Linked DNA regions of Arabidopsis thaliana. The protein of the gene in region 3 interacts with the protein of the main gene of each other region in a pairwise test. Each region holds a gene or a part of one and is shown on either strand. Other genes may lie near its edges. The genes, in order: AT5G22310, AT2G46550 and AT1G12650.

Region 1 (7,852 bases), on a different chromosome or scaffold from region 3:
TTTTGTTTTGTCAGCTAACCAGTTTTGTCGTCGGAAAGACTATCCTTCTCCGCCGGAATACATGTTTTCCGGTTCAGAAGAGAGCCTAACACCGGACTCTGTTGTCTGCGCTGGTGGAAGCTCTATCATTTCACCTTTGGGAATTGTTTTAGCTGGACCAAACTATAGAGGAGAAGCTCTTATCACAGCTGATCTAGGTATATTATTAATTAACATTTGTTAATCATCATCATTCATTCTTGAACAAAAAGTTAACTAATCATATCCTATAAATCTCTAACAGATCTTGGGGACATAGCACGAGCCAAGTTTGATTTTGATGTGGTCGGACATTACTCGAGGCCTGAAGTGTTTAGCTTGAACATAAGGGAGCATCCGAGAAAAGCGGTCAGCTTCAAGACGTCAAAGGTAATGGAAGATGAATCCGTCTAACAAATGATCATTTGTTAGACCCAAACTTTCTCTGTAATTTGATGAAGTTTATCTGTAGTAAACTTCAAGACTTGTGTTGTAATTGAAATCGATAAAAAATCTAAACCGTTAGATTGAGTGTTGTCTTCTATTCCTCGTTTATACTATGCTTGGTTCTGCTCGTTCCATGTTCTTCAAATTTGTACATGAAACTAGTGATTCAATAACTTGTTAGGGATTAAGATGAGTCATTTTTACGAAAAAGATGAAAGAAAAACAAACCCAAATGGCCAAAACAAATAAGCTACCAATTCTCTCTACTCTTCCGCAACACAACACTCTCTATGGGTTTGGGCCTTGTTTCCTTATTTATTTCCCTGTCTCTTGGAATGGGCTTAGGCTTTTCTGTTTGTATCCACCCTGTGAAAACCTAAAACATTCATATAAATTGTTTTTTTTTGGTTTGGCATAGAGGATAAGCAACACATTCGTACCGAAACAAACCGAAATATGGAATTTTAAAAACTCTGTTTTATAGGTTTAAAAATTATGTAATCAAGTTCTGGGATAAAAATACGAAGTATATTAATATATAGGAAAACTCATATTTTTAACATTCAAAGTGTTATTTGGTAACACCAAAATCGAAACGAAAAGTCTGCCCATGTTTGAGACGATCTGTCCACTGACAGTTGATTTGCTAGTTGCTATATTAGTAACATCAATGTCTTCAAAATAGTGATTTTGTAGGTAGGTTCATTGTATATATCAATGTTTATTATACAGACAAAGGAGGAGACAAAGAGATAAACCACACACGAACTTGATAAGATCATCACTCTGACAAAATATCTCCCTATAATGCGAATGTTTTTAGCATTTGACCTTTCTCATTCAATGAGAGAAAATTAGTTAGCCTAGTGGCACTATATTATGCTTCAACTTTAGTAGTTTTATTTTGTTATACGAGTTAATGATTTATCCCTAAACTATGTAAAAGTATGAAACAAAAAAAGAAAGACAAACTTTTGGAACCCAAAACCCCTTGATTTGGTTTAATGGTACATATATATATGGTTCTAAGCTAAAATATTATATTGAGTGGGGGACATAGAGTAAGGCTGATTGGTATATGCATATATCTTTCACACGAATTGACCTATTACCTAATCATGTGTATATATGATCGAAAAATGAAGATCCGTTATTGTTCGTTATTGTTCATGTCATCTTATTAATTTTTGTAACTTTTTTGGTTGAATTGTTACCAAATATTCCCAAATAGGGTAAAACGTAACGGATATATAGTTGAGACAAAATCACATGGGAAGATGGAACGATGCTGTCCAAATGTCTAGACAATAATAGAGAAAATGTCTTGTTTCGTTTTTGATTCAAAATCTTAAACTAATCCTTTCTTGAATCAATTATATATCTCATTATTGTTCGTTCTTATTCTCATTGTTGTACTAATCATTATGATTTAATTTACACCAAATCAACGTTTCCATGTGTATATCTTCAATGCCACCAATAAATAAGTTCTTTAATAGTTATATACAATGTACAATTCACCTCCAATTCATTCCAAGCATGATTTGTTTGGTTTCCCCTTATTCTCTACATCTACATTATGGTCTAATTAGAGTTAGTTACAAACATAAAAACTCGTACGTAATGAATTGTTGTTCTCTAAAATAAGCACTTAAGTTCCGTAATAGACTTCAAATTCTGACAAATCACTTGATTACAAACTTGAAACTTCGATCATAAAAACGGAATATTTTGATAGAAAATGCAAATAATGATTTGATTGGATATGTGTAGTAAATTGAGGTTAAACCATTGTAGACGAAAAAATGTGATATACCGGCAAAAAATATTCCGTAATTGATTTTGTATTTCAAATTAAATTGAATAAATTACAAATACTGAAATATTATATACTATAAAAAAAAATGATTTCTTTTTCTTCCTCGCCGGCGCTAGCGGTGGTGATTACACAAACTCAGAGCTTGGTAAATTCCGATGATTCCACTGCTCTGACGATGAAGGACCAATACATCTAACATTTGAAACAATGTAATCTCTCAAAGTCTTCAAAGACTCATCTCTCTCACCATTCTCAACAATCACTGATCTCTTCTCCACCGGATCATCATCATCATCATCGCCGCCGGAGCCATCAAATCTCCGACGATCTTTCAGGCTATCAACATAACCCCATTTACTACCACTCTCCATGTTCAACTCAATGGACTTAAGATCACTCTCCTCATCATCATCAGAACCAGAACCATCAATCACCTCCAAAATCCTACGAATCTCCGACGACCCTTTTCCTTCTTCACCATCCAAAACCCGCCGGAGCTCCTTCTTCAGCCGCTCCACGGCGGCGTATTTATCTTCGAACTCAAACTTCGCCTCCGTAAGCTTCATTTGAACTCTCTCTTCCCTCAAAACATCAGCTATATGCATCATCTCTCTCTCTTTCTCCATCTCCTTCTTATCATCTCCGATTCCTTTAGTTAGCTCATCACAAACCTCTTCAAGAACATCTTTAGCTCTCTTCTCTCTTTTCATCTCCTCCTTCATCTTCCTCTCTGTTTCTTTAGCCTCCGTGAGCTCTCTCCCTAATCTTCTATTCATCTTCTCTGTTCTTCGCCGGAGTTTTCTCTCAACCATCGCCTCTTCTTGTAGACTCTCTATCAACCTCCGCTTCTCCTCTTCCTCTTCATCTAATTCACTCATTAGATGCTTTAGTGAAGATCTTGCTCTGTCTAGTTCACATAACAAAGCAGAGATCAAACGATTGCTTGCTGTCTTGTGATCATCTCCGAGCTCACCGATCCTTTTTAATACCTTTACCAGTTCTTTAGACGTTGTTAATCCGTCACTGACATTCTTGAAACGAGTTTTCACCTGTAATATAATTAAGAATCAGACCTTTCTTCTTCCGCAAGAAAAGTGTTTTTAGGGTAAGATTGCAAATCATACCGAGTTTGCGCCAATGATTTTGTATTCAATTGGGTTTAATTTCTGAGGATTTGTTGATCTTCTACGAATCATATCGTCACAGAGATCGATTCTCTGTGCAATTTTGATTTTTCAGACTTAGAATTTCAGAAAGAAAAAAAACACAGAGGAAACTTGAAACTGAAGCAAACCCTAACCTCTGAGCTTAGACGAGAAATCGGATCGGATGATCGTGGCGGGAAATCAATGGAAGAGAACTCTGTTGATTTCTTCGCTCTGTATCTCGATGGTTTCTTGCTTCTCAAGCAATCTTTATCAGAATTTACCGGAGGGTCTGCGTCGTCGTTGATTTCCCACAGCGTCGCAGCTAGCTTTCTCGCCGACACGCAGCTTTTCTGCAATTGATGATGATCTATAGGAAGATTTTCCGGCGAAAACGATAACAGAACTGGAGTTTTAGCGGCGGTGATGGACTTAACAGGAGTTCCTGAGCCACCGTCGTCTTGAGCGGCTCTTTTCCCGGCGAAAATTGCACGTTTGAAGCGGTTTCGACGAGCAAGTGAAGAAGAAGAAGAGGAAGAACCACCTCTCTTCCTGATCTTACAACCTTTCTTCCGTTGTTCCATAGTTGATATTCAAAACAACAAATCAGAACACAAAATTTTACCAAATCTTGCCGGAAAACAAGAGAAAAAAATAGGATTGAAATTGGTGCTTTTTAGGAGAAGTGAGTCATCTTCTAAGATCAGAAGCAGTTTCTGGAAGATTTTGTTTTTGAATCTCTAAATAGACTTTAAAGTGAGTGAAAGAGAAAGATAATACAAAAAGTGAAAGTTAAGATGATGTTTTTACTTCTTCTTAAAAGCAAAAGAAGAGAAGAGTAATAAGATTCTTGATCCCTTTGAAGACGTTGTGATTTGTGAAAAAGAAGTTTTGAATCTGGGAAATTGTGTTTTATTTTCTTGGGAGAAGAGAGATGTTGAAGAAGAGGAAAGAAAGATGGAGACAGTGTGGTGTTTTTGTGTTTGTGCGTTGTCTATTTGGGCAATGTAAATTTTCTTTGGAGGGTTCATGAACCGATGTTGTCCAATTTCGTCATTAATTTTAACAAAAATAATTTCATAATCAATGAGTACAAATATTGTTGCCGCTAACTCATTAATGCAACAATGACTTGCAAAAAGATATCATGGAATCCATGTTTCCAAATTAGTGCTTTCTAAAGAGTTTAGAATCTTTAGACCACAAGTTAACCTGGTTTGATCGGATTAGACAGGATTCTATTAAGTTTTTGTAGGCTTTTCTGGAGAAGAAAAAAAGAAGAGCATCAAATAAAGACAACGTACTAGATTATCAAAACTAGCATTAACCTCTATGCTAACGTCAAAAGCTAACATGTGTTTTCTAGAACTTGCCAAAAGTCGAACAGAACACGGGTTTAGGTCACAATTTAACCTCGTTTGATCGGATTAAGACCCGACTCATTTCGTTTTTGATTAGTATTTTTTTTTTGGGAAATAATATGAACGTCAAAAGAGTTAAAGACAACGTACTACGTACTACTATAAAGTAGCATTGTTTTCAACAAACATGAATATGGGTGACATATTTTGAAATAAATGAATATGCATAGACAAGGCAAGATACATGAGCCAAGAAAGTATACTCCTTTTTTCTTATGTTTTAGGAAAAAAAATTGTATTGAATTAGATGATGTTTTTTTATTTTTAATGCAAAATTGATTAGTTTTTATTGATTTTGACGATTTATATCATGCAGATTGTTCAATTATGATTGAATAGTGTTTAGAAAGATAATATATAGTATTTTTGTTTAAATGCGAATATTTGTTATACACAATCCAAAAACACAAACAGAAATATAATTATTATAAATCATTTTCGTTTAGGATTGAATAGTTCTTCATTTTATGTTTTAGGATTGTGTTTATAAACTTATGGCTTTTGTCTAGAGAGGTAGGTATTAAGATCAATACACTAAAATTTTACAGACAGTTGTTATAAGTTATTGGAATTGTCGCACATCGAAACTTTGACAATTTTGACACTAATATATATAGTAGATGTTCAATCATTGCTAAAAATCTCTCATTAAACAATCATAGTTACACAATGAATACATGGTTTTAGATTTTTGGATTCATAAAAAAAAATATTGCTGCTCTAAAACATATAGGATTTTTTGAATGTAAATCAGACATAAAATTTCCTAGATGCCTTAACGATTACTACTATCCAATCATAATTCACAACTCAAAACCAATGATTGTCTCTATACTAATTTGAACACAAGTTTTGTGATTGGCATATGAATTATGAAAGACAGGCACATGCTGAGTACAAATAATAGTAAATACTTATGGAACATCCCAAAGAGATAGATGCCTTCTCTGCCAGTCAAATCAAATCCATCCTCCAGATTCTTTTAACTCCATTACAAATAATTTAACATATTACTAATTTAAAAATAAATTAATACGAGTAAAAAAGAATTTTAAAATGTGTGAAGACTAGAGAAGTGCCACGATGATAGAAGAAAAATACAACATAGATGAACGGTTCAGATTAAAAAGAGTTCTAGTCTGTTTCTCTTTTATTCCTTTGAGTCTTTGACTACTACTCACATATCACATGGAGAATTTGACAAAAATGTCATATCACTATACTTTTATTCAATATACTAACTACTCTTGCAGCAGCAATCTAAACTCTACTTTAAAAACGACGTTCTTTTTTGTCAAATAAGCTAAACTAAAAAAATATCGTTTACAATATACAATACATACTATGGGTAATTACATACATTCAATACGGGTAGATACGGACATTTTGAACTAGCAAATCGGTTTTAACATTAGCATTACAAAACAAACATAGGAAACAAAAGAAGATGACAAAAATTTCTAACTCTTCTCTACGTCTTCATAATATATCACAAATGTAGACCACATTTACACCTAATCGGAATAGTCTGCACTAAAATTAATTTAGTTTTCTTTTCTGAAATCAAAATTCAAACTTCTCATTGTCCAAACTAGTGTTTCCACATTTTTCCTAGCATTTAGCTTGTATCATTTTATTTCTCTTTTTTATTACACACTAGAAACTAACACAATAAAAATAACAAATATTAAAGCGTGAATAGAATGGTCCCATGGTCTAGTGGTCAGGACATTGGACTCTGAATCCAGTAACCCGAGTTCAAGTCTCGGTGGGACCTATTCTCCTTTTTTTGTTTTGGTTTCAATGACACAAACATTTTATAAAATTAGATATAGCTTCTCAACAGTGCAGAAAACAATTTATAAAGAAGATCGAAACCACTTTCTTCCTCTCCTATGTTCTTTAACCATATCAAAATACTCCCTAGCCGTTGGATGTTACAGACATAACTGTCCCTTCTTTTAAAGAGTAAAACACTCCCTCTGTTGCAGTTTACTCCCACTTAGACTCTCCTCCTAACCCGATCTCAACCTCCATGGGAAGATCAATCACTACACTCTTGCTTTGCTTCTTTTCACTCTTCTTCTTCTTCTTGTTAGCTTTAGTATCTATCACTTTTACTAAACCTGTCTCTTGGACGCTGCTTTTCTTCTTCTTCTCAATACCGTCTTCAGAACCCTTTGGCACATTTTCCCGGGAAAAGATTTCTGCGAAAGAGGTTTCAGCATCATCTATAGCATCGAGTTCCTCCTTTGGAGTAGCCCTTTTCTGTTTCTTCTCAGCATCATCATCATCATCATTGTTACTTGGGATTGTCTTCTCTTTATGTTCTTCTTTCTTTTTTGTTTCAACTTGATCTACATTTGTGTTGCTCTTAGACTTCTTCTTCTTGCTTTTGTGATCCTCATTGTTGACTTCTTCTTCTTCTGACTTATTTCTCTTAGAGCTCTTCTTGCGTTTTCGATCTTCTTTAGATTGTTCCTCTTCTGCTGATTTATTGTGATAGGCATCAAAGGTTTCATCATCGGTATCAAGCCGAATATGCTTTGCATTCCTTGAGCTTTTTTCTAAGGGTTGAGCGTTGAATACATTCACTGAAGGGAGAAGCAACGTTCTCACCTGCGACATCAAAACAATTTTCCTCATTCTTATACGATTTCTTCACGCAGTTACACTAATCACAATGGAAAAAAGAAGTAGAAAAAGTTGTTTTACCTTCTTAGCTGACTTATCGTTATCAGAAATCGGGTTTCCTCGAATATTCAGATTTCGCAAGCAAGATAGTGTACCCAAAACCTATCATTTGGGAGCACACAAATTTGATGGTTTATTACACGATCACCACAAAAACTTGCCACAAGCTAGGGAAGGCTAACAAATTTGCTTTCACCTATATGAATTAGACTATACCTCTAAACCAGAGAGTTGCGTAATCACATTGTTTCCCACATCCAAATTGAGTAGTCTTTTGTTGACTGCTAGTTCTGCTGGGAGAGCCTGAA
Region 2 (7,886 bases), on a different chromosome or scaffold from region 3:
ATATTTATTTATTTTCACCTCTATAGTAAATAGTGAAGCTTTAAAATGTAAAAATACCATCCCTTATAGAATAACACTGTTTGAACTTTAGTGACAATGTATTCTTTGAATAGTAAGAACAAATAATAACAGTTTAGTTGGTGAATGATTCTATTATTTGGTGACGTGGTCAGTCAAATTTCCTCTAATAACAAAAGAGTATTGACTTTTATGAATGGTTGTCTATCTAGTCAACAGTAAAAAACCACCGTTGGATCATTAATAATCACAAATGATTTGAGATATATTTAATGCATTGTCTTTTTTTTCTTCACTCTCCCACTACCTAAAAAGAAACTGCCTAAGACTAAGCTGAAGAAGAAGAAAGAAAGAAACAGAGAAGACATAAAAATGAGAGGAGACAAGGAAGAAGAGAAGGCGAAGCTTGCACTTGTGTTAGCTGCAAAGTCAAGATCGTTGTTGTACACTTCATCGCCTGCGAGTCCACGTGTGTTTGCTTCTCCGATTCACACTCTTGCCTCTGTTCCGTTTTGTTGGGAAGACCAACCAGGCAAGCCCAAGCACCCTCTTCGTCCTCTTTCTTACCCCAAGTGTCTTGATTTGCCACCTCGTTTGCTCCTTCCTGGTGAGTTCACGCAAATGCCCTTGCCCGAGAGGAAACATGGGCTCTTGAGGTTCTTGAGGAGGAAAGGGAGAGGGGATGTTGTTGTGAGGGGTAATTATGTCTTTCTGTCGGAGAATCAGAGAGCAGGAGATAATATCAACGAGAACAACATGAAGATCATGAAGTTTAACAGATCAGGGAGTTACCATGGTGGTGGTTCTGTTAAAGGATCTCACTTTTGGGTAAAGTATTTGTGTTTCTCCGCTCCTTCTTCATAACTTCTTCATCTTCCCAAGTCTTGTCTTTCGCTGAAACGGGTTTGGTTGGGGAAATGCAGGGAAGTTTATGCAAGGGATTGAAGCTAGCAATGCCATGGAAGAACAAGAAGATGAGAAGTGGAAGTGTTTAAGCCTGTTTTCAATATGCATTATCTATCTATCTATTGAGGGATCAAGATGATGAAAAAGAGCTATTAAGAGTGTATGTAAGATTAGCAATTTTACTGTAATTTAATATCTGTGTGATATGCATATATAATGTTGTTAAGACTCATGAGCCATGGCAAGAAAAGTTTCAAGCTTTTTTCATTTGTTGTTAAGAAATGAATACATCTGATCAAGTGATGAACAAAAGTGAGTGTACACACATGCCTTTATATTAAGTTTCATAACAAACAAATGAGTCTGGCTTATTCATTGTGAATAGAGAGAGTAAAAGACAAAAAAGGAATAGGGATCATCTGAATGTAAGAAAACAGGGGAAGTCATTGCTTGTTTTAACTCTGTTTCTTCCCTGTGACACCAGCAATCACCTGCAAAAGCAAATTGGATCTGAGTTAATACTTGACGCCTTTGTTTGCCTGTAAAGAGTATATAGGAAAGCGTTGGATAACTAAGCAATGTGATAACTAACTAGTCTCTTTTATGCCCAATCCATTTTTGGCAGTAACAAAATGTGATCATGACACTCGTCCAATGATGAAAAGCATAGATTTTTAAGGCATGGATGAACCAAAGATGGAACTCTCAAATCACAAGAAGACGCAGGAGGAACAAAACATCGAGATGATGTATAGGCTACATCACATAGCAAAAAAAAGAAACGTCCAAACATTCGCCTACACGGATACTAAGAACAACTATCATGCAGAGTTCCCACATCAGAGACATTTCATTAGATAGGAAATAGATGACGATTTTAGCAGCAAAAGGAATTTCCACAGAGATAAATATATTCTAATACATACATCGGTAAGTGGAGGAGCTTTAACTTGTTTGGAAGCCTCGAGAGAGTCTAGAATAGGCCTCACAACCGCAGGCAAAAATAGTCCTACAAGATGAAGAGAATCCATCAGCAAATGTATATTAACACAATTGCCTTTTGCTAATGTTCAAGAAAGACATAATCTTTTGCTACTTATACATGGAGATAATGGAAGACATGGTTCCAAATTAAGCTTAATTTCAACTCCTTAAAATACACTCTCTTTGACAACCCAAAGAAATGACGATTCCGAATAGAGAGATTTGGATCAGGCATTTCTCTATATTCTCAAATTACAATCGAGCAAACTAGCTCTATAGATTCAAAGAGGAATTCCAGAAACTAGATAAATCCCAAAGCAAATCCTTTTCTAAGAAAGAGAATGCGATCGATCGGTGAGGAATTAAGATTGAGATTAGGGTTCATACCAACACCGCCGATTAAGCAAGAAGCAGCCACAACTGGTTCCTGCGCCACGAACATCCTCAATTTCTCCATGACCGGCATTTTCGCACTTTCCGATTTTAATCTCTTCCTCGGATTACGACCAAAGCTCCTCGTCAATGTCTGATTCGATTGATAGTTGCTCCTGAGTAAACCATTTTCTCACCTGAAACGAAATTAAAGATCATCTCCGGTCGGGTCGGGTTACTGGGCCCAAATGTTCGCAATTCGGCCCATTATAATCACCTTTGCCGTAATTAAAAAATATATATACTGTATATCTTTCTCTTTCTCATTCTGCTTCCAGCAGTAAAAAATTACTAAGTATTTTAAATTTTCAAGAAATCGAAGCTCTAGGAACATGAAAGAAAGATCATATACACTGTACAGTAGTTAATATATGCAGATATTACATGAACATGAAAGATACTTACTTACACATTAAAGAAGATAATTTCATATGATTTTTGAAGGAAAAGATCAAACTAGTAAACACAATATTAACAAAATTCTTACAACAATTTACATTCTCTCCTTAACGAAATCCAAAAGCTGATTCGAAGCCAATCTTTTAACTCATTTCAACATCATCAAGCTGTTCAATGAGAAAAAAGATGAAGTTTTGTCTCTTTTCTTCTCTTTAAACTAGAACGATAGCATCTGCATCCATCCAACAGTCCATCCAAGAAGCAAACCAGCACCAACAAGACTCATCCCCAATGCTAAACCAACCGCGTACTTTGCTCCATTCGGTTTACCCCTTTTGCTTCTTCTCTTTCTCCCCTCTTTTCTTGCTTTGCCATTGCTCCAACAAGGGATGGAAACCCCTGGATCGTCGTTGTTCTTATTGTCAATCTCCTTGTTCTTGATTTGGAGGTAAAGTGCTTCTAGCTGAAGCAGTTGTAACCATTGCTTATACCCAAAAAGCTCTGCGGCTTGCTTCAACAATATCTTCACCAAGTGCTCTTTCTCTGCATAAGCTTCTTTAGCCATATTCTCCGCTTCCCTAGCCCGCGTTTGCGAACGCCTCAGTGCTTCTAGAAGCTCGGATTTGCTTAAATCAGACTCAGATGAAGCCTCGGGTCTGTTCTTGCAGCTGCTTCCTTTGCTTGTACCCTTGATGGTTTGGCCAGAGACAGAGTAGTCTCTCAATCCATCAGAATCAAAACCACGTGGACTACCATAATAAGATCGTTTCATCTTCTGCGGTGTTGGTAAATCACAATTCTCAACATAGTCTAGAGATCTTTGTGCAACCAAGGAAGCTAACTCGTCTTTATCCGTAGTTCGCCACCACGGTGCAGCTTTCTCACTCGAGAGAAGATTCCACGGCGAGCTAGGATCAAAAGAGAGCTCACTTAACTTTTTCTCAGAGGACTCATCATACCCAGTTGAACCATAACTCTCCCTTGTCTCCATCAACTCTATAAACTCTTGAAAGCTTTCGGAATTAAAAGACTTTCCTTGTTTCTCTCCAGCTCCCAATTCAGACTTCTTCTCAGATACACCTTGATTGTTAACCTCATCCTCCAATGGCTGCTTCTTATTCACCTGAAACTGATGATGAGGATGACTCCACAGTCTGGTGTTGTGGGGTAACAGATCAGGGAAATTCGGGTTTCGAGGAAGAGGCATGAAACCTGCACAAGATGATTGAGTCCGTGGTTCAACAGAAACTCGAGGAGAAGAACCAGAAACTTCCACTTGCTTAGTTGAAGAAGCAGTTGAGGATGAAGATGATTGGCAATAAGTTAACTTGGGAGCTCTTTTAGCGTCTTCTTGGACAAAGCAACGATTAACTGTTCTTTGCCACACTGCTCTTGCTTCAGCTGCTGCCATTATTTCACCATAACTCTAAAGATAAGACAAGAGACTGAGAATTCAATTCAAGATCAATGTGATTTAGAAATTAGGTAGATTTAGCAAAATCTTATTAACCGTTTTGAATCTATTTATAGGAAAAATAATATGAATCATTTATTTCAAAGGAAGAATCTTTCTGATTGCCGACAGATCCATCACCAAAAAAGCTTATTACAAAACTACTTTTTAGAGAATCTGATATGTTTTGCTTTCCAGGTAAATTGAAGAATTAGTTCCTAATTTTCTTAGAAGCAAACAAAAACCAAAGCCAGATTCTTTGTCAATTTATCAACTTACTAAACAAATCATCATTATTTGCAATTGAAATCAAATTTCATAAAACTTCAACTATAAAATTATCAAACCCAGAAGAACACAAAAAAAAAACATGAAACGCGATTAGACCTAAGAATCAAAACCGGACACAAAAACAACGGATGGTGATCCAAATCATAATTCATCTTAATGAAACCGCAATAATTTGTAAGAATTCGGAAAAAAAGAACTAACCAGAAGGAGAGAGTAACACCAGACGAAACCCAAAAAACGGAAAAATCTATGATTGTTTAGTCAGTCTCGTGAAGAAGATAAGAGTTGTTCTGATTTTTTTTTGTTTTCTGATTGTCAGAGAATTTTTGTTTGCTTTCGATTAAAATCTTTTGAATCATTTTGCAGTTTATTATCGTTTTCTTAGTCTCTGTGTCATTCAGCACGCAAGCTTCCGCAAAACGGCACCGTTTTCTGAGAGGACCCATAGTTATGTTAATGAGTATTTGAGTCCACAGATTTGCCCATAGATTTCACCTGACAGCCGTTCGATTAGATATTAATTACACGTGGCGACAAAAAAGAAGATCTAAAAAAGGCTTCCCTTTCCTTTTTTAACGGATAAGACCTTTTATCTTATCAGTTATCACTATACGATTACGCGCGATGGTAGATTACGTCATAAATGTTTGGTTAAAACATAAAAATCTTGTAGTAATTGCGTCGAATGATTTTGATTTTTAAATGATCGATTAAATTTTAAATTTCAAGTTAGGGTCTACTAATATTTTTTATGACATCGTTTTCATTTAAGTAATAAAGTGGCCAATGGTAAATAGACATGTTGAAAATATAAAATTAGGTTTTTTACATGTCAATTTGGTTTAATGTAGTTCTGAAAGTTAGGTAAAGAGAATGTAAATAGTGGCCTCGTCTAGGAAATTGAATGTTAGGTGAAGCCAAGTGTCTTCAAGTCATTATGGTTAATTGTCTCTCTCCATTATTCTCCAATTGATAGTGTTACATGAGATTTATTTATTACGTGGTTAATAATTATTTAAGCAATCTAAGATATTCTAATAAGATGCTTTATGTGAGCACTAATATATTCAGTCATAATTAACACCATAGTCTATATATATACTATATATACAACTAACTTCTTTAGAATAATTATTAATGAAATGGACCTTTGCCTTAACTTAATAGTTTTAGGAATAATTCTTGGCAAATGGGGTTTTAATCAAACATTTTGATGATTCATATCATTTCGTCTACAAGACTACAACACAAATTATGGAGCAGTTTAATAATCAACCATAAGATAATATTCCACTACGTAATACGATAGTGGCCAGGTTCCTAGCCGTCAATTTTTCATAATCTTATTAAACTATATCGAGCTAATACCAAACCAACACCAAAAAGAAAGAAAAAAAATTACAATAACGAACTAAATCTTGATAATGTTTATTTTCGGTTCTATTGCACTACACTTAACACCAATCTAATTGGAATCAGTCCGATTTAATCTGGTCTAAATCTGATGCAACAAAGTCAACGAAAACTATGTCAAAGATAAATAGATGATATTTCCGAGTATAGATTGAAGTCAAGTCAAAGATAAATTAAAATCTGGATTATGGTCAACTCAAGATTCTACTGCTTCATAATCTTTAATATATTTGTATATACACAAATATTAAACCATATAGAGAAAAAAACTACATCACAAAAAATCACGTATTCAATAAACACACGCAAGGTAGCAATAACTCGTTTTCTCGACTGCAAAACTTTCCCGGAAAATGTATCTTCTTTTTATTTAGCATCGCCATAGGAAGAATCTACGAGGCTGACGAACTTCACCGTGCCATCACCACCACACGTTATAAATCCATTCGGACAAACTTGTATGTCAGTCACCCCAGCCTACACCAAATTCGTAACACATACCCAAATTCGATTACATACACCGACATTACTTTGATTCTGGTTTACTAAGAAACCAAAGCCACTGTGAGAAAATACGATGAAAGGATTATGCTTTAGGTGATTTGGTTCACTAACCCGGATGATTCCACCGTAGCCTCTCGAGTTTGGCTGCAGAAAAGTGTGTCTTTCGTGTAGTTTAGGCCAATGATGAATCAACTTTGCAGCTTTCGCATCCCAAAGTTTTACTTCTCCGTCTTTGCTTCCCGTCAAGAAAAGACTTGTGCGTGGGATTGTCGCTATTTTTGTCACACTCCCTGAAATTTGCATCAATGTCAATCAAATTTCAGGATATTTTTCCGGTAAAATTGGAATATGAAGGTGAAAATAGGCTTTAGGGTGTGCACCTAAGTGAGCCTTTGGTATATACCAAAGCATCCCATTCTTGTTTTGATCTCCATCAGTCGAAGATCCACCGTCAGGGTTCCTTTGCTTCTTCATCTTTCCGGTTGCAATAAACCGGAAATCGTGCAAACCGACATCACCATTTTTGCCACCAGTCACAATCATAGGAGAAATTGAACCACTACCAATGTCATTATCAAATACCGAGATAGAGCGTGCACCACCTTCATAGAAGAAAAGGGACAAAACAAAAAAAAAACTTGTTAAGAGTTGTGATTATGGGAAATGATACTAACACTTCTACAAAAAAAATTATTGGAGGACCTTCATGGCAATTGATAGATGCCTGGGAGGTTGAAGGGGGAGCTAGAGTATCCCACACAACGACATTTGCACCACTTGAGCTATATCCTGAAGCTGCAACAATGGATCCACTCGAACTAATATATCCTACATCTCTGCAACCATAAATAACAGAAACAGAATAGCTGAAGCCAATAGAACAAGAAACAGAGAAATAATGGTAATTTTCATGACTGACAGCAATAATTTAAAACTTATGTGTTTTTAGCATATTAGTGAACAAGAACTTATAGACTCAAGGATCATGAAACGTACGATGCATGGCCATTGAAGCAAAGAGATGATTCAACAGGATGAATATTGCTCCTTCCTCCAACTTCTGATTGCCAAGTGCATACAGTTCCATCCAGTGCAGCGCTAGCAAATCTGTGTCCGAATGGACCGAATTGCACTGCTGATATCGACGCCAAAGCATAAGGAGGGGAAACATTTGCAGCAGGAAGAACACCATAAGTTGCAGTAGCTCTTTCGTTTCCAAACTGTAACATGCAAGGTTTGCATTATAAGATCCACAAGGATAGATAAGAAATGTCATATCATTTACTCCGAACTCCTAAAACAGATGGTGCAAGTGTTTAGGCACAAACCTCCCACAAGTATATGTGAGTGTTGCTTGAGCCAACCAAGAAGAGGGGCATTGTCGGGTGATTAGAGAATGCTCTCGTAATAACACTTTCAACTGTTGGGGGAGGATCAACAAACTCTTCAAATTCTTCTTGAGTTTCCCAACCTAGACCAGAGACTC
Region 3 (7,824 bases):
CTTTTGTTTTCCTTTGATTTTTTTTTAACTCAGCTTTGTTTTCCTTTTATATCAATTGATTTCTTGTAGCAAAATATATTGAATAAAAAATTCGTTATTTTTTGTCGGCCAAAAAAAAATTCGTTATTTAAAAACTGAATTATACAAACTTGTTCATATCTTTTTTTATATAATAAAATATTATTAATCAACCCAAACTGGGAATGGGCTTTAAGCCCAAAGGATACACAGTTACAAAAAAAAAAGGAAAGTACTATAATTCATTAGTTTGTTTTAGTAATTAAATTTCAATAGTTAACCCAAATTATGAATGGGCTTTTGGCCCAGTCTTCAGATCCTTTTTTCACACATGAATTCTCCTAGTACCAACGCTTCTAGTTTTTCTTGGTACACTTGTTTGAGCATGAATCCACACATGCTGATACTCTTTCCACATCTGTCCATAACACAAACACCAACCAAAACCATTTAACGTTACAATCTCATTTCAACTATATATATATGGTCATCGATTTGTAAACACCGTTATGGGTAAGATTTACAATGTAAAAATTGTTTAGAAGAAGTATAAACTTACTCGGATTTTGGATGGAAGAAAGAGAAACACAATGATAAGTTGCACATCCGAGTTTGCAGAAATAATCAGATTCATCGATATTGTTTGAAGAAACAGATGGTGGAGAAGGTTGTTGAAGACATTCTTTGGTACACGTAAATGGACACTTAAGATACTTTGGAAACTTTGAACCAGCTTTACACTCCACAAGACAAGCTGGATAACATTCTTTAAATGGGATTTTTTGAGCCGCTGTCTGAGCCAGAAGGTTCCCTATCACCATCACTATCATTACTGCCACCAACATTGCATGTCACTCTTTTGCTCTCCATTTTTTTCTCTCTAGATGATATGCTTTTTTTTTTATGAAAGTGTTTTTTTGTAAGCTGTGAATGTTGCTTGGGTTATCATGTCTTGTTAAAATAGAGACTGTGTAAGTTTATATATTAGTTAACATTTCCAGATTCATCCACAAATCAGGCTGTAGTGCTTGTGTAATGATGACATAGTGGGAAATTAATATTTCTAGATTCCTTTCGTTTGGGATTTGGAGATCTGTTTAGTTATGATGACAAAATATACGTTAACATATATGTTTATGTATGTGCAGACTGTTTGTATATATTTGCTTACGTACATGAATTTGCTTTAGTTTCTTTTTGATATGTATCTATGTTCAAGCACTCCATATTAAAAATGGTGAAATGATCAACATGGCATCATATATTCATATAAGATCGTTGTATTAATTAGAATAATTGGAAGAAAAGAAATCAAACAATATTTTTTTTCTGCATCGAGTGAAGTACAAAATTAAACAGAATAAATGAACAAGTTTGTTTGATCTTTGAATATTTTTCGAGTAATCTTGGCATATAAAAACAAAGTTAGTTCTTAACATTATTAAATAAATATTATGATATATTGCAACATATATAGGTGATCTTATTTTGGATTCAGGATATTTTAGCATTCAAAAAATTGAACAAATGAAGTAACACATACGAATAGTAAAGTAGAACTGAACCATCTGAAAGGGCTAGAGTCTCTCATGTCTTAAGAGAACCAAGAGCAAACTAAGTAGCATTTGTACTGGATTATGGCTTTCAAGAGAAAATAAGAAGGTAACCAAACCTTAGAAAGATATATCAACGTTTTTTTTAGCTAACTAGACAGATATTCGTAAAACAAGATATTTTTGATCAGTTTTGATCTGATTAGGGTTACGTACATACGTAATGTCTCCATCGATCACGATCACATGTGACCATTCGGTTTCGAAGCGTAAGAATGTGTGCGTTGGTTCAATTTTGAATCATTTGGCAAATAAACATGCACATGATGTATTTTTAACTGTTTAACACATTATTTTGGTTAAATTTTCAAACTTATTTATTTTTGAATGATCAAAATTGTAAATTTTGTTACGGATAGGAATGAGATTCATCGAATAAGATTCAAGATGCATACCTTAAATTAAATACGTTGGTGAGTCTGCACAATATTATTATGAAACAATTCCTTTTCTTTATTAATGAAAGTCTCTTTATTTCAGATGGATGCCTCGATACCTATATATTTGCAATTGGCTTGCTCGTAACACAAAGCATATCAACTCAGGAAATAAATTCTCAGTGGAGAATATTTAATCGATACAAACTACGACACTATCTTCTAATTAGAGATTAATTTTCATAGACTAAAATCAATAGCGATTTTAGTTCTTGTGGGAGCACTCTTCTGAGCATGAATCCACGCATAATGAAACTTTCTCCACATGATCTGCCCATATATAAAACAAACAACCAAATCTAAGAAAATTAATTAGAATCCACACAATAAAATTATTTGAATGCTTAAAAACCATCAAACATTCTTACTAATAGCAGAATTACACCCAAAACAAAATCATCATTCTTACTCCAGAGAAATTTACATAATATCCTTAGACCCACAAGATTAAATTGTATATATATATGAACGTTATTGATACAAGAACTTGGAGAAAAAAAAACAAAAACAACAAACTTACCCTTATCATCAATTGAGGAGGATGAAACACAACGATCGGTAGCACATCCGAGTTCGCAGTAAGAACCAGTTTGGTCAATTTCATTTAGATTTGCCTCAAAAGAAAGCATAGGTCGACGTTTACAATCCTTGATACACAAAAAAGGACAAAAAAGTTTTTTAATCGGAGGCGCTATTAGAGCACACGCCACAAGACAACCTCCGTAACATAATTTAAAAGACATAACAGCCTCTGCCTCAATTAACATGTTCCCCATCACCAACATCATCACCACTAACATGGCCACTCTTTTGTCCTCCATTTTTTTTTGAAGGTACAAAGAGAGTTTTTTTTTGGGCAGAGAATATTAGAAATGTTGATGGAAAGTGTTTGTTAATTGTGATTGCTTGTTTGTGTAACTAAGGTTTATTTATATGGGATTGTGTAACTTTGTGTTATAGTTAACATTTTCATACAATGCATAAGTTGGTAATTAAATCTAATTCAATTCATTTAGAATCTAGAGATTCCATATTTAAAAAACAAATACAAAATATATTAAGAGATTTTTTTTATTGTATGTTACTATGTTTATGGCACAAAATCGCGCATTAACCTAGCATGTACATATTTGTTTGTACTTCGTCACTGTACATACATGAATGTACCTGACTTTAAGTGAATTAGATATGTCATATGTGTAAACATAGACATTCATGCATGTTAAAATAGTAATATATCTAAATGACATTCATCAATAAAATATATACTAGTATTTAACTATATATGACTCAAAGTATTAATGTTTATTTTGAATAAATTTTCAATCTAAAACTTCAATTAAAAAAAAAAAATCAACCTAAAATTTTGAAAAACAAACCAGGCTGTAGTATTTGTGTGATGATGACATAGTGAGAAATAAATTCTAGATGAGTTTCGTTTAGGATTTGTAGATCTGTCTAATTATGATGATAAAATATACGTTACCATTTATTTTAACGTATGTCTAACATGTGTATGTGTGTACACATAAATTGCTTGCTTACGTACATGAATGTGCTTTATTTCCTTTTTGATATTTGCGTCTATGTTCAAACACACTACATTAAAAATGGTGAAATGTAGCTGATAAAAAGGTTATTGAAAAATCGAATTAATTACTAGAAAAAATCTTATTTTAGATTCCGGATATTTCTTAACATAAATTAGTTAGTAATATTACGATATATATCGAAACTAGAGACCTTTTTTTGGATTCCGGATATTTTTCATTCAATCTTGAAAAGAACCAACAGTATGAATTATGAAACACTAAATGCTTAAAAACATTAAACAGTTGTAAGTAACATAAGAAAAGTAATGTAGATTTGAACCCTCTGAAAGGTCTAGAGTCTCTCATGTCTTCACAGAACCAACAGCAAACTAAGCAGCCTTTGTATTCGATTTGGCTTTCAATTGCAAAAACAAAATGTAAAGCTGCATTTGGCTTTCAAACCTCAAACATGAATTTTAGATCAGTATCACAAAGACCGCCACAAAATTTGTCATGGACCAAGGTAAGAGACAGGTCTTAAAGCAAAACTGCTTATCTCTATTCCTCTGCTCGACGATAGGGCATGAACCTATGATCCTTTGTTGCATTCTTCTTCCTCCGTTTGTCAAGATACGATGTAAGCTTCCCAGATTCCTGGATTGTACAAAAAGAACTGATTCAGTGATTCTGTTTCCATACAAACATTTAAAACTTTGGTAGTCAAAACTGATTTACATACCTTGAGACTGTTGTACTTTTCGATGAGTGTTTGCTTTCGGATTTCCGCTGCATAAGAAAAGAGAAAAGGATTCAGTAAATTGTAGGCAAAGAGAAACGCAAAACTGTAATGTTCAACCTAAACTTGGGACTTTTGAGTAAAAGACTCAGGAGACATACATTTTTTGAGATAGTAAGGCCTTTTTCCTTCTTTTGCGGCTTCTCGTTCTTTCTTTTTGTGTTCTGTTAGTATTGCTGCTCCTTTGTTCTGTGTTGATGGCTCATACTTCAACATTTTCTCCTGATATATATACAAATAACAGATTTAAAGGTGAGTAAACAAACTAATGATCAGAGAGTTACAACAGGAGAGGTAAAGAAAGGATCACTCACAACGTAAGTTAACTGGTTCTTCAATTCGTCGATTTCTTCTGGATTCTTTGTTTTCTTTAACTTCTTTTTCAATTCCTGTTTTAGGAACCCCAGAAAATCAAACAAAAAGCTTCGTGACAAATCGGAACCATATCGTTTTCAGCATTTAATAAATAATACCTCTCTTTCCACAGGAAGTTTGTCCTCAAAAAAGAAATTATATCGCTTCCTGAACCTACAGAAGATACAAAACTTACGTTCACTGAAACAAGAACAATGAGTGCATTATAAGTAATTTCAAGTTCACAAGACAAAGATGTTTATACCCCTCGACGTCAAGTGTTCCACCCAATTGGTTAAAGCGAGGATCACGAACCTCCTGAATCAAACAAACAAACTCTATTAACAACTCCAAAATAAAAAAACTTGGGAAGAAGAAATAAGAGATTCAAAATGTTCTCAATGCTAAGACTTATTACCTTCTTTGGAACGTGAACCACCTCTCTATAACGACTCACAGGTTTCTTAGAACTCACTTCCATTGGTCTGTTTTCATCACAAATAGAAACACCAAAGATTAACAAAGTAACCAACAACTGAAAGAAAGACAAAAACCAAGAACCAGAGAAAACAATGTTGTGTATACCTGTTTTTGTTAGCACGAGCACGACCTGTTTTCTTCACTTGATTTGGTTTCCATGGAACAGCTTTAGACCCATCAGCTCGTAATTTATGAATCTCCTCAAAGGTTAACTCTTTTTCTGTTTCTTCTTCCTAATTCCACATTCAAAAACAGATGCTTCAACAAACAATAATAATGTATTTAAGTTCCATACCTATTCTAAAGCTACTAACCTCATCTGAAGAAGACACAGATGAACACGAGAGATCTTCATCTTCTTCACTATCCTCAAAAACTATCTTACTTGAGCTCCCTTCAAACTTACCAGCTCCTTTCATGTCGACACGTGAACCTAATCAATAAAGATCACACCTTTAAGATGCAAATTTCCCAACATAAACAGAGTTACATACAGAAATCAAAATTTAAGCATGGCACAATCGAGAAACAAAAACCTAAAACAGAGTAAGAGTACCACAACCATAAACTTACTTGAACAGAGAAAATCTGTAGAATCAAGTAACGACGGCTAAAGAGGACAACGAACGGCGAAGAAACGAGAGAACTCACGAGAAGTAAAGAGATCGTAAGACCAGAAAAAAAGAGGAAATTAGGGTATTTAATTTAAACCGTTGGTTTTGCAATTTCAGTTGGTTTTAAAATACTGTACCGACCGGTTTATTACATGATACCTTTCGTTAACAAAGAAAGCCAACAACCACACGACACGACACCAACAACCACACGACACGACACGACCGATCTATAGATTCGGCGAGATCAGAAGAAAGCTTCCCGGAGCAACTCGGTCGTTGTGACTCATTCCGAGTTAAAAAAAACGGGTTTTCGACACCATGGATATGAGTTCAATGGCTGGTTCAATCGGAGTTTCGGTAGCCGTACTCCGATTCCTCCTCTGTTTCGTTGCCACGATCCCTGTTTCATTCGCTTGTCGAATCGTCCCGAGTAGACTCGGTAAACACTTGTATGCCGCTGCTTCAGGTGCTTTCCTCTCTTACCTCTCCTTTGGCTTCTCCTCCAACCTTCACTTCCTTGTTCCGATGACGATCGGATATGCTTCAATGGCGATTTATAGACCCAAGTGTGGAATCATCACTTTCTTCCTCGGTTTCGCTTATCTTATTGGCTGGTACTAAATTCTGAACCCTTTATGCTATGAATTAGTGCAGAAATCGTCTTCCTTCTGATTGACCCTGATTTAGTTATGGTGCAAATTCGTGATTTGTGTGTGTAGTCATGTGTTTTATATGAGTGGTGATGCGTGGAAAGAAGGAGGAATCGATTCTACTGGTAACTCTTACCTTCCTCATCTGAAAGTTGCTTCCTTTTGATTTGGATGCTCTTTGTTGTTCATGTGTAGTAATTGTGATTAGCTTCTTAACTTGCCCTTCTTGTTGTTCATGTGTTAGGAGCGTTAATGGTGTTGACGCTGAAAGTCATCTCATGTTCAATGAATTACAATGATGGGATGTTGAAGGAGGAAGGTCTACGTGAAGCTCAGAAGAAAAACAGATTGATTCAGATGCCGTCTTTGATTGAGTACTTTGGTTACTGCCTTTGTTGTGGTAGCCATTTTGCTGGTCCTGTTTATGAAATGAAAGATTATCTTGAATGGACCGAAGGGAAAGGGGTAAGCTTCTTCTTCTTCTTCTTGAGAGCTTTTATCATTATCAAGAATCTCTGAAGTTTTAATAGACTAGATTGTGAATATGTAAACTTTGTGCTTTCTAGATTTGGGATACTACTGAGAAAAGAAAGAAGCCATCGCCTTATGGAGCTACAATCCGAGCTATTTTGCAAGCTGCGATTTGCATGGCTCTGTATCTCTATTTAGTGCCTCAATATCCGTTAACTCGGTTCACAGAACCAGTGTATCAAGAATGGGGATTCTTGAGAAAATTTAGTTACCAATACATGGCTGGATTCACGGCTCGTTGGAAGTATTACTTCATCTGGTCAATTTCAGAGGCTTCTATTATCATCTCTGGTTTGGGTTTCAGTGGTTGGACTGATGATGCTTCACCAAAGCCCAAATGGGACCGTGCCAAGAACGTAGATATTCTCGGTGTTGAACTAGCTAAGAGCGCGGTTCAGATTCCACTTGTGTGGAACATACAAGTCAGCACGTGGCTCCGTCACTGTAAGTAGTCTTCTGATACTAATGAATCCTATAAAGCAGAAATTTCGGTTCATCTGTGAACTTATTCATGATGTTTAAAAATGCAGATGTGTATGAGAGACTTGTGCAGAACGGAAAGAAAGCGGGTTTCTTCCAGTTACTAGCTACACAAACCGTCAGCGCGGTTTGGCATGTGAGTTCTCTATTTTTTTTTTTCATGTTTTCAATTACTTCCAATGATGGAGGAACATACATTTGTATTTCTATTCTGATCTTTTCTTCTACCTCTAATGCAATTTGCAGGGACTGTATCCTGGATATATGATGTTCTTTGTTCAGTCAGCTTTGATGATCGCAGGCTCACGGGGTAAAT

Evidence for each region.
Region 1: the proteins of AT1G12650 (region 3) and AT5G22310 interact in a two-hybrid assay, tested with the Arabidopsis thaliana proteins (one large-scale study listed by BioGRID).
Region 2: the proteins of AT1G12650 (region 3) and AT2G46550 interact in a two-hybrid assay, tested with the Arabidopsis thaliana proteins (one large-scale study listed by BioGRID).

Annotation. Positions count from the first base shown.
Region 1 is NC_003076.8:7,381,333-7,389,184, forward strand, and holds AT5G22310 (trichohyalin-like protein), read right to left. Parts: upstream 4,502-7,852; 5' UTR 4,014-4,501; coding exon 3,585-4,013; intron 3,502-3,584; coding exon 3,409-3,501; intron 3,334-3,408; coding exon 2,410-3,333; 3' UTR 2,251-2,409; downstream 1-2,250. Other genes in the region: NIT4 (nitrilase 4), read left to right, coding at 1-197, 284-432; AT5G22320 (Leucine-rich repeat (LRR) family protein), read right to left, coding at 6,843-7,469, 7,566-7,646, 7,761-7,847.
Region 2 is NC_003071.7:19,109,308-19,117,193, forward strand, and holds AT2G46550 (uncharacterized protein), read right to left. Parts: upstream 4,900-7,886; 5' UTR 4,685-4,899; intron 4,166-4,684; 5' UTR 4,151-4,165; coding exon 2,957-4,150; 3' UTR 2,654-2,956; downstream 1-2,653. Other genes in the region: AT2G46535 (uncharacterized protein), read left to right, coding at 391-846, 942-1,013; AT2G46540 (fiber), read right to left, coding at 1,380-1,415, 1,851-1,933, 2,296-2,374; AT2G46560 (transducin family protein / WD-40 repeat family protein), read right to left, coding at 6,263-6,373, 6,512-6,690, 6,781-7,002, 7,103-7,236, 7,397-7,620, 7,729-7,886.
Region 3 is NC_003070.9:4,304,008-4,311,831, reverse strand, and holds AT1G12650 (rRNA biogenesis RRP36-like protein), read right to left. Parts: upstream 6,042-7,824; 5' UTR 5,804-6,041; intron 5,774-5,803; exon of another isoform or gene 5,664-5,773; 5' UTR 5,650-5,663; coding exon 5,545-5,649; intron 5,464-5,544; coding exon 5,336-5,463; intron 5,236-5,335; coding exon 5,169-5,235; intron 5,069-5,168; coding exon 5,016-5,068; intron 4,925-5,015; coding exon 4,870-4,924; intron 4,786-4,869; coding exon 4,711-4,785; intron 4,619-4,710; coding exon 4,498-4,618; intron 4,387-4,497; coding exon 4,340-4,386; intron 4,255-4,339; coding exon 4,159-4,254; 3' UTR 3,825-4,158; downstream 1-3,824. Other genes in the region: AT1G12663 (thionin-like protein), read right to left, coding at 375-436, 578-863; AT1G12660 (thionin-like protein), read right to left, coding at 2,274-2,338, 2,589-2,889; LPLAT1 (MBOAT (membrane bound O-acyl transferase) family protein), read left to right, coding at 6,166-6,461, 6,567-6,622, 6,742-6,962, 7,064-7,472, 7,559-7,644, 7,755-7,818.